Oryzias latipes: one gene and its partners. The protein of the gene in region 2 interacts with the protein of the main gene of each other region in a pairwise test. Links are inferred from orthologs where the notes say so. Each region holds a gene or a part of one and is shown on either strand. Other genes may lie near its edges.

What was found.
Region 1: the proteins of wt1 (region 2) and dvl2 interact in a two-hybrid assay, tested with the Homo sapiens proteins (2 studies listed by BioGRID and IntAct). The link is inferred for Oryzias latipes from reciprocal best matches to the Homo sapiens genes WT1 and DVL2.
Region 3: the proteins of wt1 (region 2) and wtap interact in binary tests that used the Homo sapiens proteins (3 or more experiments, as listed by UniProt). The link is inferred for Oryzias latipes from reciprocal best matches to the Homo sapiens genes WT1 and WTAP.

What each region holds. Positions count from the first base shown.
Region 1 is NC_019876.2:14,921,432-14,926,289, forward strand, and holds the start of dvl2 (segment polarity protein dishevelled homolog DVL-2), read left to right. Parts: upstream 1-1,466; 5' UTR 1,467-1,798; coding exon 1,799-1,959; intron 1,960-4,858.
Region 2 is NC_019864.2:23,910,208-23,914,891, forward strand, and holds part of wt1 (Wilms' tumor suppressor 1), read left to right. Parts: intron 1-766; coding exon 767-866; intron 867-3,177; coding exon 3,178-3,322; intron 3,323-4,684. UniProt on the Homo sapiens protein: Transcription factor that plays an important role in cellular development and cell survival. Recognizes and binds to the DNA sequence 5'-GCG(T/G)GGGCG-3'. Regulates the expression of numerous target genes, including EPO.
Region 3 is NC_019882.2:7,324,859-7,329,641, forward strand, and holds the start of wtap (pre-mRNA-splicing regulator WTAP), read right to left. Parts: upstream 3,393-4,783; 5' UTR 3,310-3,392; exon of another isoform or gene 3,173-3,309; intron 3,120-3,172; exon of another isoform or gene 3,043-3,119; intron 2,632-3,042; 5' UTR 2,624-2,631; coding exon 2,594-2,623; intron 2,492-2,593; coding exon 2,436-2,491; intron 2,363-2,435; coding exon 2,304-2,362; intron 2,209-2,303; coding exon 2,081-2,208; intron 748-2,080; coding exon 569-747; intron 1-568. Other genes in the region: sod2 (superoxide dismutase [Mn], mitochondrial), read left to right, coding at 4,290-4,318, 4,666-4,783. UniProt on the Homo sapiens protein: Associated component of the WMM complex, a complex that mediates N6-methyladenosine (m6A) methylation of RNAs, a modification that plays a role in the efficiency of mRNA splicing and RNA processing.

The DNA.
Region 1 (4,858 bases), on a different chromosome or scaffold from region 2:
CTTTGTGATCTTTTTTGAGAAATATGTTATAACAGGAGAACCCAAATAAATGCCATTTAAAAAATGAATAATGGAACATGACAAAACACTGTTTGTGTAAGTTCACTGTATATTTGTGATATCAATGTTTATTTCAGTAAATTTCTCAATTATAGTGTATTTTTAGGACTCTTTTTTTATGAAACCTTCTTTAAATCACATTGTGTGTGAATGGATTTGCCTTTTTGCTTTTTATGCTGTTTATCTGCTTCATTTAGCATTCTCACTTCCTAATCCCATCAGTCCCAAAACATCTCAGCAAAACAACTCATCAGTAGAAACCTTTTATCACAACTCAGATGACCACAATGTTTATTTTGATATTTTTAGTACATTTTATGATGGACTCGAAGTCCAAATGTCAGCACTGAAAAATAGAGGAAAAAATACGGTTGGACTGTGATGTAGTGGGTAGCACTCATGCCTTGCAGTGAAAAGGTCTTGGTTCAAATCTCAGCTGGGACTTTTCTGTTTACATGTTCTCCCCAGTTCATAAACATGCTTCATAGGATAATTGGAGTCTCTAAATTGTCTCTTGGTACAGTCCTGCCGTCTTATCACTCAATGCAAAAACATACTAGAGATCACAACGTTAATTAAAAAGCAAAATACGGATATATAAAAATCGATATTACATTTTTGGAAAACAAAATGGAATGTTAAAAAACGAAACACGATGAGAAATTGAAAAAGGTGACTGGATGATAATATCCAGTATCGCTTCATGTCAAATAACTTTCAGCTGAAATGATGGACAAACGTCATCGTCCATCAGCGATGTCCCAAAACCTTTTCCAGTGTCTCATCATCGTTTCTTTTTACTAACATTTCATTTTGATTTCTGGAAATTACTTTTGCATTCAAAAATGTGTTTTTCTTTTTTGTTTTTCATGGAAACCCCCAACCTATGGTGCTCGGCATTTTTGTTACACGGTAATGTTAGGTTGAGGGTGTGAGGGGCTGGAAGCTAGTGGGTTTTCAGATTTTGTGTGAAAACTGCCTCAATTAAAAGACACTCGGAACGCTTTAAGATAGATACAAACTTTAATTTAGTATTGGAAAGTTAATCAAATCAATTTTAAAAAATTCAACAAAAATTGGGGACATCTTTGGATTTGTGTATATAAAATTTAGTAGAAAAAAATAATAATTTAACAATATTTTCCTTTTTTTACCATCAAAACTAAAACAGATAATTACATGTGTGTAAGGTTTATGACGCTATTAATTTTTAATATAATTTTTAATCAATGTTCGGTTTTAGTTGCAATGGGTTTATGATTTTTTTTTATTTAAATGTCTTTAATTAAAGTAATGGGCAATGGACTTAGTAGAGGGGCCTCCCGTACGTAAAGCAGAAAGGGGGGTGCGTCCTTACGTCACACGCAACAAGTGGTAAAAAGTTGTTGGACCCCCCGCCCCCTCCCACCCCTCCTCCTCCCCTGTATGTTTTTGTTGAGGGAAAAGTTGTTGGGAGTTTTGCTCGTGTGAATGCAGCGCCTCCGCCGCTTTTCGGCCCTCGGTACTAGCAGAGGGGAATGCCCGCCGTTTCGTTCCTTCAAGTCGGAGAAAGAGCCGAGGAGCAGAACCTTCCAGATCTTTATGTGAAAACGTAACCTTTTCGGGCTCCAACGTCTCGTTAGCTTCCTTGCTAGCTCCCAAAGTTGACGCTACCTCGCCTCACACTCACCGCTGTGTGTCCCGTCGGAAGTTAGCGGGTTTGTGGGGAAGGAAAAAAAATTAACAAAAACCCGCAGAGATGGCGGAAACCAAGATAATTTATCACATCGACGAGGAGGAGACGCCGTACTTGGTGAAGATACCGATAGCTGCCGAAAACATCACTTTGTTGGATTTTAAACAAGTGTTGAACAAGCCAAACTACAAGTTCTTCTTCAAGTCTATGGACCAAGACTTTGGGTGAGCTGCTGAGATTTCTTCTTCCTGCGCTGAACATGAAAGGATTGATTACGCTAAAAGTAAAGGAACTAAAATTTAAGCGACCAAACGTTCATTCAGAGGCTCATATAATTCAAATTGTGTGGCAAAAATAATATACACATTTATTTTTTCCTACTAGTTTTCAGTGCGTCAGTAGCTGAAAAAAACGCTCCAAAATAGCAGGAAAAACCGTTTTAAATGACATTAAATGTGTATTTTTTTGTCTATTTAGTTTGTTCCTTACAAAACTGTTGGAATAAACGACTCACTGAGTTGTTTTTTCTCCTCTAACGAGAAACCACGCAGTGATGAAGATCATAGCGGTTCTTTAAATACTTTGGATTCTGTGGAATATTTTCAGAATAAAAGACTCCCATTACAATGAGAGGCATTCCTCGGCCCTGCAGCTTTTCTTAGCCCTAATAATCCTCCTCCTCTTCCTCTCCCCCCTCTCCTTCAAGTGAACTCCTCTTTTCTTTCTTGCGGGACTGCAGCCAGAGTTTTGTCCTTTCTCCTTCACACTTCAGCCCGCTTTCCATCCTTTCAATCCCCAACTCCTATTCTATGTAGCTTCTCCTTCAGGTAGAAGACAGGAAAACTGTCTTTCCTCTTCCATGTCATGGTCTGTAGTAGAGGAATGGACGATGGTTAGTTTAAGTCGGTTTCTATTATTATTATGTGTGTACTTGTCTTTTGGTTGGACCATCAGGATATTTATTCTCTCAACCAGAACCTTGATTTAAAAAAATATATAATTTGTTTTATATTGTATTGTGCCTTATAAACTCTAATTAAGATATTTTGAATTGAAATCAACATGGATTTATCACAGGTTAGGCAGTTCTTATTAAAGATGTTTCTGTAGTAGAGAAGTATGCATTCCTCTATAGCTTCTAGTAGCCAATTTCACTCCTGGGTTTTAGTCACAAGGACCTTTTGTTTTTTTTGGGACCATAAGACGCTCCTAAAATCAACAGTGCATTGTATGTATGAATTCTGGTTGTGTTAATTGATGTGGAACCGATTTTCTTTGGTAAATGGCGCTCAAAAATCTGTCCAAATACTTCAGAGAGACTTTGGTAAACTACAAAGCTGCACCTGGAGCATTAAAGCCTTGTTTCCACTCAGCGATCCGGTCCGGTTTAGAAAGCGATTCAGGTGAGCGTTTCCACTCAAAGTTGGACCGGCGCATGTGGGACGTTTGAGAGAAGATTGTGGTCGGCAGAGCAGAACACAGCCGCTTTCTTTTGTTGTAACGACCTTTAGCCAATCGACAGGTTTCAACAGTAGCTCCGCCCAAACCGATCTGTTCCATTTTTCTATGGACCTACAACCAACAGGGGCCCAAAAATGGTACGGTTAATGGGTCCATTTTACCTAGTGAAGTGATACGTATTGTGTTTCAACATAATGGATTGAAAAAGTGTTCTGTATTTTGTGTTACAACTGAACAACGTTGAGAGTTACTGTCAATAAAGTTTGACTTATCTGCAGAGTCTGATTATTGCAGGTAGGAGAGAAGAACTCAGTTCACTAGAAAAAGGTTCCATCAACCCCCTCTTGACCAATTCTATGCATTAGGCCAACTTTGTGCATTCTGGCTATTGTAGTTATATCACATGAAATGACTGTTGTATTGCTCAATCTGCCTTATGGTCCAACAAATCTTTTTGGTTTTAGACCCTCCAGAAAATAACCCATCATGGAGAGGGGCTCTTGATTCCACCTTCTAAAATCAGACAAACATATTGAATATCCTTTTTGGTTTAACACGTTATTTTTGATCCAAGTGGCTCGTTTATATATGCTCACTTTTCAGTAGAATTATTGTTTCCAAATTCTCATAAATGATGCTGCACTTGTTGTAGCTCTCATTTTTTATTGGCTCAGAATTGGGGCTGAACGATATGAAGAAAACTTGCGATATGCGATATGAGTGATCAATATTGCGATAACGATATCATTTGCGGTAAATAAACAAATAGCAAAACAACCAAAAGCATCATTCCCATTTCACTGCAACAGTTTAAAATGTATAGTCCAAATGAACCTCGGCGAGGTAGGATGCAAACATCTAACATAAAAGGGTCCATCCGATTGGTCAAATGCATAAAGGGATTTATTTGATTCATTAAATGCTTCAAGCTGCCATAAGATTGTTTTAGCATATTTAAGGTAACCATTTATTGCGATTTGTGATGACTTTTGCGATATGCATATTGCACAGCTTGATATCGCGATAACGATAAATTTGCGGTATATTGTGTGCAGGCCTACTCAGAATGCAGTGTGACGTTGTTCAAATTAAACCTTTATTAAACCAGAATGGTCAAGTATTGACAAACGTAGGTTAAAGAATAAAGAATCAATCAAACCCAGAGCTAAAGTTTTTTTAACCCTTTTATCTTGGATGTTGGCAATGACACGTTTGTGCAAACACTCTTTACACTGAAAAATGTCAACGCTTTCTAAAAGATGAGACGCTACAGACAATACAATGTTGTAATGGGCAAAAAACTCAGAAGTTCACAAATAGCCCCTATGTTTCCAAGGAAGACAGTTATTCCTGGTTAATTTTATTCTTTTTCTGACCAAAACTGTTACAGTCAATGTTACAATAAACAAACTGAGGCTGTCTACATGCCTGCAAATGCAGAATAACTGAATTAGCAGATATATACAAATTAATCCATGGAAATATGGTCATTTGTAGATCCTCATCTACATGGTTATCTTGGAAGAAGCTTTCAAAGTTTCGGTGACTCAAGGCCCATTATTGACCCTTGTGCTACCCTAGGCACTTTAACATTGGGAGTTGGGTCATCTAGACCCACTAGACAGTGCCCTGAACCTTTTTTCTTCAATGATTTGTGATCTT
Region 2 (4,684 bases):
ACCACAGACATTGTGTCATAGAGCTACAGACAACTGAGGGTCATCATCTGAGAAATCTAGACTGTTATTTGTTGATCTGACACAGAGAGAGCATTCACACTTTATGTTTTTAGGCCTCAAAGAACGTTTTGCTCTGTGGTCCTCTGATGGTATTTTATGAATTTTAATTCACAATTTATTCTTTTTTTTTCCATCAGTGAATTTAAAATTACCATTTTCTTTATATTTAGATCTTACAGTAAATCATATACATTTTTTTAATTCACATTATATTTACCTTTATTTTATTGTTAAATGTATTAGTAGCACTTTGGCGATAAAGTGTAAAATCCAACCTCATGTTCTGTGGCTTTTGGGATGATGGAACATACATCTTAGCATATATCTTCTCCTCATCTTCCAGGTGAGCTGTTTTCTTAAAAAAAAGAAGAAATTTACTGAGCTCGGACAAAAAAAAGGGAGGAAGAATTATCAACGTGCAGCAGAAGTCATGTCTGGTCTGTGATTTGCATTATGGGCTGTAACTGACAAGGTGAACATGTCTGAATAATGTTGCCCTGCTGGCCCCATCTTACTAACAGCAGCTCATACTCGATCTTTGTAAAATGTTCTTCTAATTTGTGGAATCGATGTGCAGTTTTCTCAAAACCAAGCATTTTTGTGTGTGTTTTTATTGCACTTAGAGGCTAATATGATTTAAAAATCCAGACATTCCTATTTTATAAAGTGTTAATTTTATCGCATCATCTTTCTTTCTGTCTTGCAGTCATGCAGCTGGCTATGACAGTGACCCCAGCACCCCGATGGTGTACAGCTGCAGCACCCAGTACCGCATACACACTCACGGAGTCTTCCGAGGCATTCAGGTGGGACTGTTGCTGCCGCTGCCGCACACACGCACAATCGAGTTCGAGAGGTCGCCGTCGGGTGAAATAGATCCCAAACGCATTTACTGTACACCTTCTTCACTGACTCACACACATGCCTGAAAAGCATGTGATGGTGAGTAATGCAATAATCAGGCTTTATCAGCAAAATGCTGAGATGTACCAGAGTACCGACGTGCACACAAAAACCTTCACGTACGTGCTGCACACAAAGACAGAAGGCATGCTTTTCACGGCTCCATTTGCAAACTCACTTGGGGCTACGCTGTCATGATACAGCTTCCATAGGAGGATCTTCATGTTAATAAATCATTAGATCTCAATTATTGTCTGTCAGCGGCTCTAAAGGACAAGGAGCAGGAGATTCTCCAGACCTGCTGCGGAGGCATTTCTGTCAGGACTCTGCTTCATTTGTCACCATGTTCCTTTCCTTTTTTACAAACTCTGGCTCTGAACAAAAGAATAAAAACCAGCGCTTAGACCTTTTAAAGTATAATTTAAGAGCTGCTAAAATATAAGGCAATTTGTTGAGTCAAAGGTCCGCTCTGATAGAAATTGTGTTTTTGTAGTTTTTAACATATTTGTATGGTACTTTTCTCATGTTGGAGGACATAAGTAAAAAAAAAAAACTTAAAATAGCATTTCTGAGTATTTTTTTATTCAAATTGTGAATCGGGAGCAGATGAAAAACTGCAGCTTGAAAAAGAGCTTATTTGTAACAGTATTGGTTGTTTCCATCAGATGTAAATATTCCACAGCAAAAAAACAGGATTCAGACAGACTAAAGTAGGTGCAGGTCCAACAACAGGAAGACTTTCAAAATAAAAGAGGACTGCAATTGAAATGAAGAAAAATACATATTTGAAATTAGAAAACAAACCATGAACAAATAAAACAAGTTTGAATAGTTTAGGAGAATATATAAACATAAAAATTGACAAACAATAACAATATTTAGATAATTTAATAACTGATTAATATGTTTTTCTTGTTTATTTCCTTTCCTTACAGCTCTAATTTTTGTCAATAAATCTAGATGGAGCTCAATTTCTATAGGTTTAAATTTTAATATCTAAAATATATTTCCACAGAAGTCTTTAGCTTCTCCTTTGATAGGTTATCGAATCGAATCAAATCAATCTTTATTTAGTACACTAAGTGCTGTACATCAAATAAAATAAAATAAAACAAGCAAATGAATACATTGAAAAAAAATAATTAAGTTGGGGCGAGGGAGGTCTGGGCATCTCTGCTTAGACTGCTGCCCCGCGACCCGGTCCCGGATAAGCGGAGGAAGATGGATGGATGGATTGATAATTAAGTTTAAATAATAAAATAATAAAAGTTAAGGAGAGGTATTTTAAAATATCTATGCTCTCTTTTATGGTGTTAAACTTAAACACAGTTTTATTTATCATGTCTTCCCTGACCTTATTTGGGGTTAATAAATGAAATATCCTTGATTATCTTTATTTTAACGCTGGTTTGATTTTTCTTCAGTTTTCTCTAAAAGAAACCAAAAGAACATAAATATATTCAGTCAGTATATTTTGAATGATAAAAATGAACAATTTTCATTTAATAAAATCCTAATCTCACATTTAAACTGCTTTAGAACTTAAAACTTATCATAAATTTAGATCACTTTAAATTTGAAATTTAAAGGTTTTATTCTGTGAATTTGTGGTCAGTGGCTCTCCAGTTTGCATCAAGTGCAACTTCAGGAGTGCCAACTGCAACAAAGCTGACCTCTGAACACTGTGTGATCATTATGCTAATCAGTGAGGAAATTAGGAGCAGATGGCTGGAAACAGATGAGATACAGGCAACATGGGGGAAGAAGGAGAAAGGTGCAACATTTGAAAGAAAGTAGAGATAAGGGAGGAAAACCTGCCAGATATGAGAATAACATTGTTAAATTAACTTTGACTTTACATGTTAGCTAAAATGCAAATATGGGGGTCATTTCCTGTCTTTGTCCTCAGACCAAGACTGCAGGGAGCTGTGGGGGCTCTGGGATGGCGCTCTGCCTAGAAGGCATGACTAACAGCTCCCTTTGGGCTGCATTCAGTCTGGGGTCATCTGACAGCTAATTCCAATCTCATGAATATTGGACTGTTTTATTAAAGTTAACCCACAATCAGACAAATGACATGCCTTATTAACACACGGGGCAGACTTTACGGCCCGCAGTCTGAATTACAGGTTACGGTTCCAGTTATTGATGTCTCTAGGAGGCCTTTGTTTATTCCATCTTTACTGATTTTAATGTGTGTGCGTGTGTGTGTAGGATGTGCGACGGGTGCCCAGCATTGCTCCTGCAATAGTTCGGTCAGAAAGCAGTGAGAAGCGACCGTTCATGTGCGGCTACCCAGGATGCAACAAGCGCTACTTCAAGCTGTCTCACTTGCAGATGCACAGCCGCAAACACACAGGTGAACCAACTAACTGTATTTTAAGAAGAATGTTAACACTTAATGATTTAGCAAGGTGACTTTCAGATTCATGAAATCAAGAGAATCATGTGAAGGGATTTGCTCAAGGAGACACTTACCTTCAGTTTTGCGTCTTTTTTCCTTCAACAGGTTTTTACCCTGTGCTACTGAAATTTAACCTGACTTAAAAAGACAAAATGTACACAAAAAGTCTCCATAGATGATTTAGATTTATTTTAGGAATTTTTTTTTTTGCTGTCATGACTCCTATCAGGAACAATGATGAACAGGGCTGATGGTTGCTTTTTTGCTCCATCCAAGGAGCAACAATCAGTCTCTGTGGCATGTTTCCTAAGCATTACGATATAAAATAATAATAATAATAATAATAATAATGTTTTGGATTTTCTCTGCTTTCAAGGGGAAGACTTCCTGCTTCCTCTGTCTGGACCTTGCATCTGCTAAGATATCTCTGAAAGCATTACTAAGATGCTTTAGTGTTGATGCCTGAACATTGTGTCTGGGCCTGAGTGAATGTTTCTCAATAAGCTGCAAAGAAAATTTATAAATCAGTAATCATTCATTATTGGAAAAACACTGAACTGACGTCATACCAACATTGCGTCATACCAACATTGCGTTTTACCCAACTTCTGCATCTTGCAGAAGTTGGGTAAAAACTCATTGATTGAATCTCTGCTGATTGATCAGGTTTCTTATTGAAACATTTTTGCCAGTTTTAGCCATAGCTACATTTGTTGCTCAGCCCTTCACCTTAGAGAGAAAGAAAATTCAAACCAAAGTAAAAAATAGCAAACATATAATGCTTTAACTGAGATAGTAGCTGTGTTTTTAAATCCCCACCAACCTCCACATACTTGCTAAAGACAATTACTTTCTTTTTTTCAGAAAAGAAACTGTTCAAATCCTTGTTTATTAATAAAAAGGACACAAAAATGCAGTTTTTGATGGTTTGGAACAAATTTCAACATTACTTGGATCAGCAAGATCAAGCTCTTTACCACTCAATGGAAGTCCACTGGATTTTGACTTCTTGGATCCAGCAGATACTTCCTGTTTGGAACACGAGAGAGGAGGGCTCACTCAGTCCAGATCCATACAGTCAATGGTTTAGATTAATCAGAATTCTCAGAGTTCTTTATTTTGTTGCATTTTGTTGCATTTTTAGCAATTACACAGATGTTAGAGAGAGACAACAAACAGTTTTGTTCTGCTTATAAGGATGTTCCAAAAGATGAAAAGCCATTTTCCATACCTCCATTATTTTATTGTTTCCCTGATATACAGCATGTGATGTGCGTTCAAGAATACACTAAATGGTTATTCTTGAACGCATTTTTA
Region 3 (4,783 bases), on a different chromosome or scaffold from region 2:
TCCAAAAAGTCTTTCAAATTCTCAGGACAGCTACTGTTTATGTGAAGCAATCCACAGTTTAAATGTCTTTTTTCTTTTTAAATGTCTTTTAAATGTTCGATTGCCGCTTTAGGCTAGGGATGCTCCCTGCCGGACACAACTTCTCCCATGACCCCCTACTTAATATGTGAACTGTCTGAGGGGGCATGGAAGGCAGTTCCATGTGGAGAAATGAGAGACCACCTCTTCAGAGCAGTCCGGACTCCATCGGGCCCTTTGGACGGCGGGGGGATATAAGAGGAGAGAGCCGAAACAAGTGTCACCTGACCATACTGTCTTTTCTCTTTAAATTGTGTGATGTGTAGCTGGCACGGTGCGAGAGTGCAAAAGCAGTTTGGTTTGGGAGTGTCTGGATTTCTGTCAAGTCTGAGCCTCGCGGTGAGCACAGCTTTTGTCAGCCTCTCCCCCCCCCCACCATTGCTCCTGCATGCCTGCAGTGAGAGTGAGGTTGGGGGACGTGAGGAAGTCTTGACTTTTTTTTTGTTTTGTTTTTTTTTTAGGTGGGGGGAGATATTTTGATTGTCTTTACCTATCAGGTGTAAATTTCCAGGCACTCAGTTCATTTTGGGCCTGCTCCAGTTTGTCTTTAGTCTGTTCCAGTTCAGCCTTCATTTTGAGGAAAAACAAGTTGATGGCTGGATCCACCATGGACGACCGCAGCTGGGCTGCACTCGGCTGCTGGACTTGCTTCAGGTACTGGATCTGTGTCTGTAGGAGGCAACAGGCAGGTGTTAGAGTCCAGTCACACACATTATGAAGCTGCTTTTAACACCTAAACATCTTCCCTTTAAAAATGTAACAAAACTGCTTTCAAATAGATCAAAATCTAGGCTAATCTGCGTCTAGACGCTTAGTTTTAAGTCCCACTTCGATCCTCTTTTGAGTGATTTTAAAAACTTTCCCAGTGGTCTTGTAATTACGCTTATGTTGTTTTTAGAATCAGAATCACTTTATTGATCCCACACATGGGAAATTTGTGTGTTACAATAGCATTGTAATCTTAAAAGGAAATAGAATATAAAAACAAAGTAATTGTAGAAAAAAATTATGTAAAAAATATCTTTATTTTAAAGGACATATTTTCTGCAGAAAGGCAGTTGTTCGTTAGAAATTTGCCTCTGCTTCTCCACCCATTTGTTATCGCTCTCTCCTGCTAGCTTACAGCCCTTCACAGACTCAACCTAACATTACCAGCGCAACAAAAATCGTGAGCAATACTGGAGCCTTCCAGACGAGTTCTGAGCCTGATGCCAGCTCAGGCGAGGAAAACAAAGACGCACGTGGATCTGCCTACAAGTGGATGGATCAGAATGCAGCAGATCAGAGATCAGTCTATTTTCCTATGTAGCAGAATTTTACCAACCACTCCTGATTCATGATTTGAATAAAGAAATACTTAGAAATGCAACTTTAAGCCTAACTGTCTTTAAATATGTCCTCTTCCATTAGAAAAACCCCACAAGAACATGTCAAAAACACAATTTTCATCCGAGGCTTTAAGTAAAAGCTGCTTTCACTCTAGTGTCGTTTTAAAATAGCAAACAGGCGATTCAGTATCCACATCTAAAAAGTGATAAGAAAGAAAATACTTTAAATATTTGGATGTAAAAGCTTGCAAACCACCACAACTTGTTCTCATCTAGAATGATTACAAACCAAGATGTGTTCTCATTAACACACATTCCCTTTCATGCAATTTATAAATCCTTAACATGTGTCTTGGTAAATTGATAGACTCCAAAATAAAAAACAACCCCCACCTTGTAGGCAATTTGAAAAGAAATATTAATTAAAAAGAATCTAATATTTTGGTGTTTTTATCCCCTAAAGACAGATGCTTTCAGGTTTGTCAAGTTTTTTTAGTGATTCTTATGCTTTTAACATTTTATCTTCAAACTTTCTATCTAATAAAGGCAGAAAAATGTTTAGAAATTATACTGTAACGATACAGAAAGCATTAAATATTTCTTCCAGGTGCTGCAACTTTAGAACAACTCATCTTTTTAGTGTTGCATATTAAAAACCTGAGCGAGAGACTTACTGTGCACTCCTGCATCTCCTGCTCCTTGGTGGCAAGTCGCATGACCAGGATGTTTTCCCTCCGAGCCGACTCCTGCTGCTGCTGCTTTAGCTTTTCCTCAGACTCCTTCAGGCCCGGGACGTCGTTGGCTGAGGGGGGTGGATGATGGGAGGGAAGAGAAACAAACTCATCAGCCGACACTCTGCGATGCAACGGGCTAGATCTATTTTTTAAGTGAACTTACAACACAGCTCTGCATATTTAGTCTCCAAGACCTGGACATATGATTCATGCTGCTTCCACCTGAGGAGAATGAGATCCATGTAAACAGCTCAACATCATCAGAAGACAGGAGGGGACAGGGGCTGTTGTTTACCGTGTACACAGCTCCTCTCTGGTCAAGGTCTTCAAATCAGATTCAGTGAGGCGAACCTGTAAAATAAAATAAAAATAGAATAAACAAAAAGCTGCTTAGACATCCATTACCAACCAACAGCACCCTTAAAGAGTAGTTTTAATCTGGATCAGACTCACCTTCTTGGGCAGAGGTTCTTCGTTGGTCATTGTGCTCTCTAGGAATGAAAATAAGCAGAAAACGTGTTATTTTTTTTGTTGGGCATCCTGTCCTCGCGCTGGCCGTCACGCAGTTAAATATTAGACGTCACGTTTGATCACAGACGCCCTCAAAAATTATTATAAACGGGCCTTCCCGACAAAACTGAAGTGTCAACAGTGAACTGCCATTGCTATATTCAACAAACCCGCGAAACTAAAGTGAACATAACCCGATAATAGGGTATGTCGTGCCGAGTACTACTAACGACTGTTGCAGTCAGCGGCGGAGGGTTTCCTTTAAAAAGTACTCAAGGTTAACCCCTCACTGCTAATAATCGTTTAGCATTTCGGCGACGTAAACACATTTTAGAGACCTGCGATGTTATCTTTCAACGTGTCGTTTATCTAAGCATCAAGTGTATAATTACTTAGCTATGTTCGGCTTCTTGTTATAACAAAATGGCGGTGAAGGAAATGACTCCCACCCCTGCGCTTCTTTTCCTGAAACTAGCGGGCTCTTAGCTGCAGTCACGCGGCCTACGCGATCATAACACTCACCGGGCCCGTTCGCTTCAATGTTTCGAAAAACCTTCGAGGTTTACAGATTCTCTGTAACTGTTTTTAAATGCGTAAAGAGTGGTGGTTGATTAAAAGTTGTGGCCTCGTCTTTAAGTGTTCAGAATCATCCCCTTTACCGAGAGAAGAACAGGACGGCTCTGGAGGATGAGGTGCTGCACTGCACTTGAGTTTCTGCGGAGTAATACCAGCAGTGGACAGGAGAGAAAAGTCTGCTCACTACGCTCACATTTTCCGATCCTAAAATTCCGGACAATCAAAATGGTTGTGATCAAATGTTTTAAGATTTAAAACTGCATTTAGTTCTGTGTTTTTCCTTGAATGTTTCTGGGTTTGCGATGTATTACATTATTAGTTTATCTAAAGAAAACGATCCAAAGCTGTTGACCCAATACTATTCTCAAATGTTGTAATGACTAAGAAAGGGAAATTAATTTATTTCCTTGCTGATGTGACATAACCTTACGCGTCTTTTCATCTTTTTTGCATTGCAAACCAAAAAACTGGATTTACTTTGATCACAAAATTTACAATCACAACAGATCGCATTTAAATTATGTAGAGTGGTTCGTTGTAGATATAGACGATCTTTGGTATCCATTTCAACACAGTGACGCAAAGACCACGTGATTCCAATGGTTACATAGTTATTTTTTAATCGTGACGCAAAGTTGTTACAAATTTTCAACCTTACAAATATTGTATAGTTTAATATGATTAAATTTTGAGTACAATAAACGAAAAGGGCTTAAAAAAATTTTTTTCGCACACATGTGGCCCCATGTTACAATAAATCTTCGGTATCTACCAAAAGACAGGGCTAAGGAAAAGTGGTAAGACCGAGAAATAAATCTCAAAATTTAAAAGATGACGTTGGTTGCAATTGAATTGCCGAAAATATAATTATTATCTTATAAATATATATAAAAATAGTATATATTGCCTTTCAAGCTTATATGAATTTAAGCCATTTTCGATAACATCCCCATATTCTGATAATGGTACGGTCGACTCCGCTGTCAAGTTGAAATTGCCCATTTCAAGGGCAGTAATACCGCCTTGTTTTCACTTTTCTTGGCTCTCTAACCTTTAAGCAAACATGCTTTGCAAAGTCTGGCAAATGCGCAGGTAAGATGTGTCTACGTTATATTTTTATGTAAAGTTCAAAAACTAAAAGAAAATACTTGTATCAGCAGCGTGGAAAACTGTTTGCTTTGTTGTGCTAACTGTTAGCTAACTTCAATGCTAATCTGGTTTAGCTGCTTAGTTAAAAACTTGTGACGTACAACGAAAACAACTCTTAGTATAGTGTAAGCGTTTAAGTATTATTGCATGTACAAATTCGTTCATGTTTTCTATTTCTTACTTTAATTGGTTGGTAAATGTCACTGGCTTGTTGAGCTAAAATCACAAGCTAAAAAAAGGTTATTTGCCACAACGATGTTGAGTTTTTTGCCTTTTCTCCCCCTTCTCAGTTGTGCATCAATCCTGCACCAAACTGTTTCTTGGAAAGTCGGATCATCAAGGCAGAAACACACACTTCCTGACCTGACCTATGATTACGGCGCCCTGGAGCCCCACATCTGTGCAGAG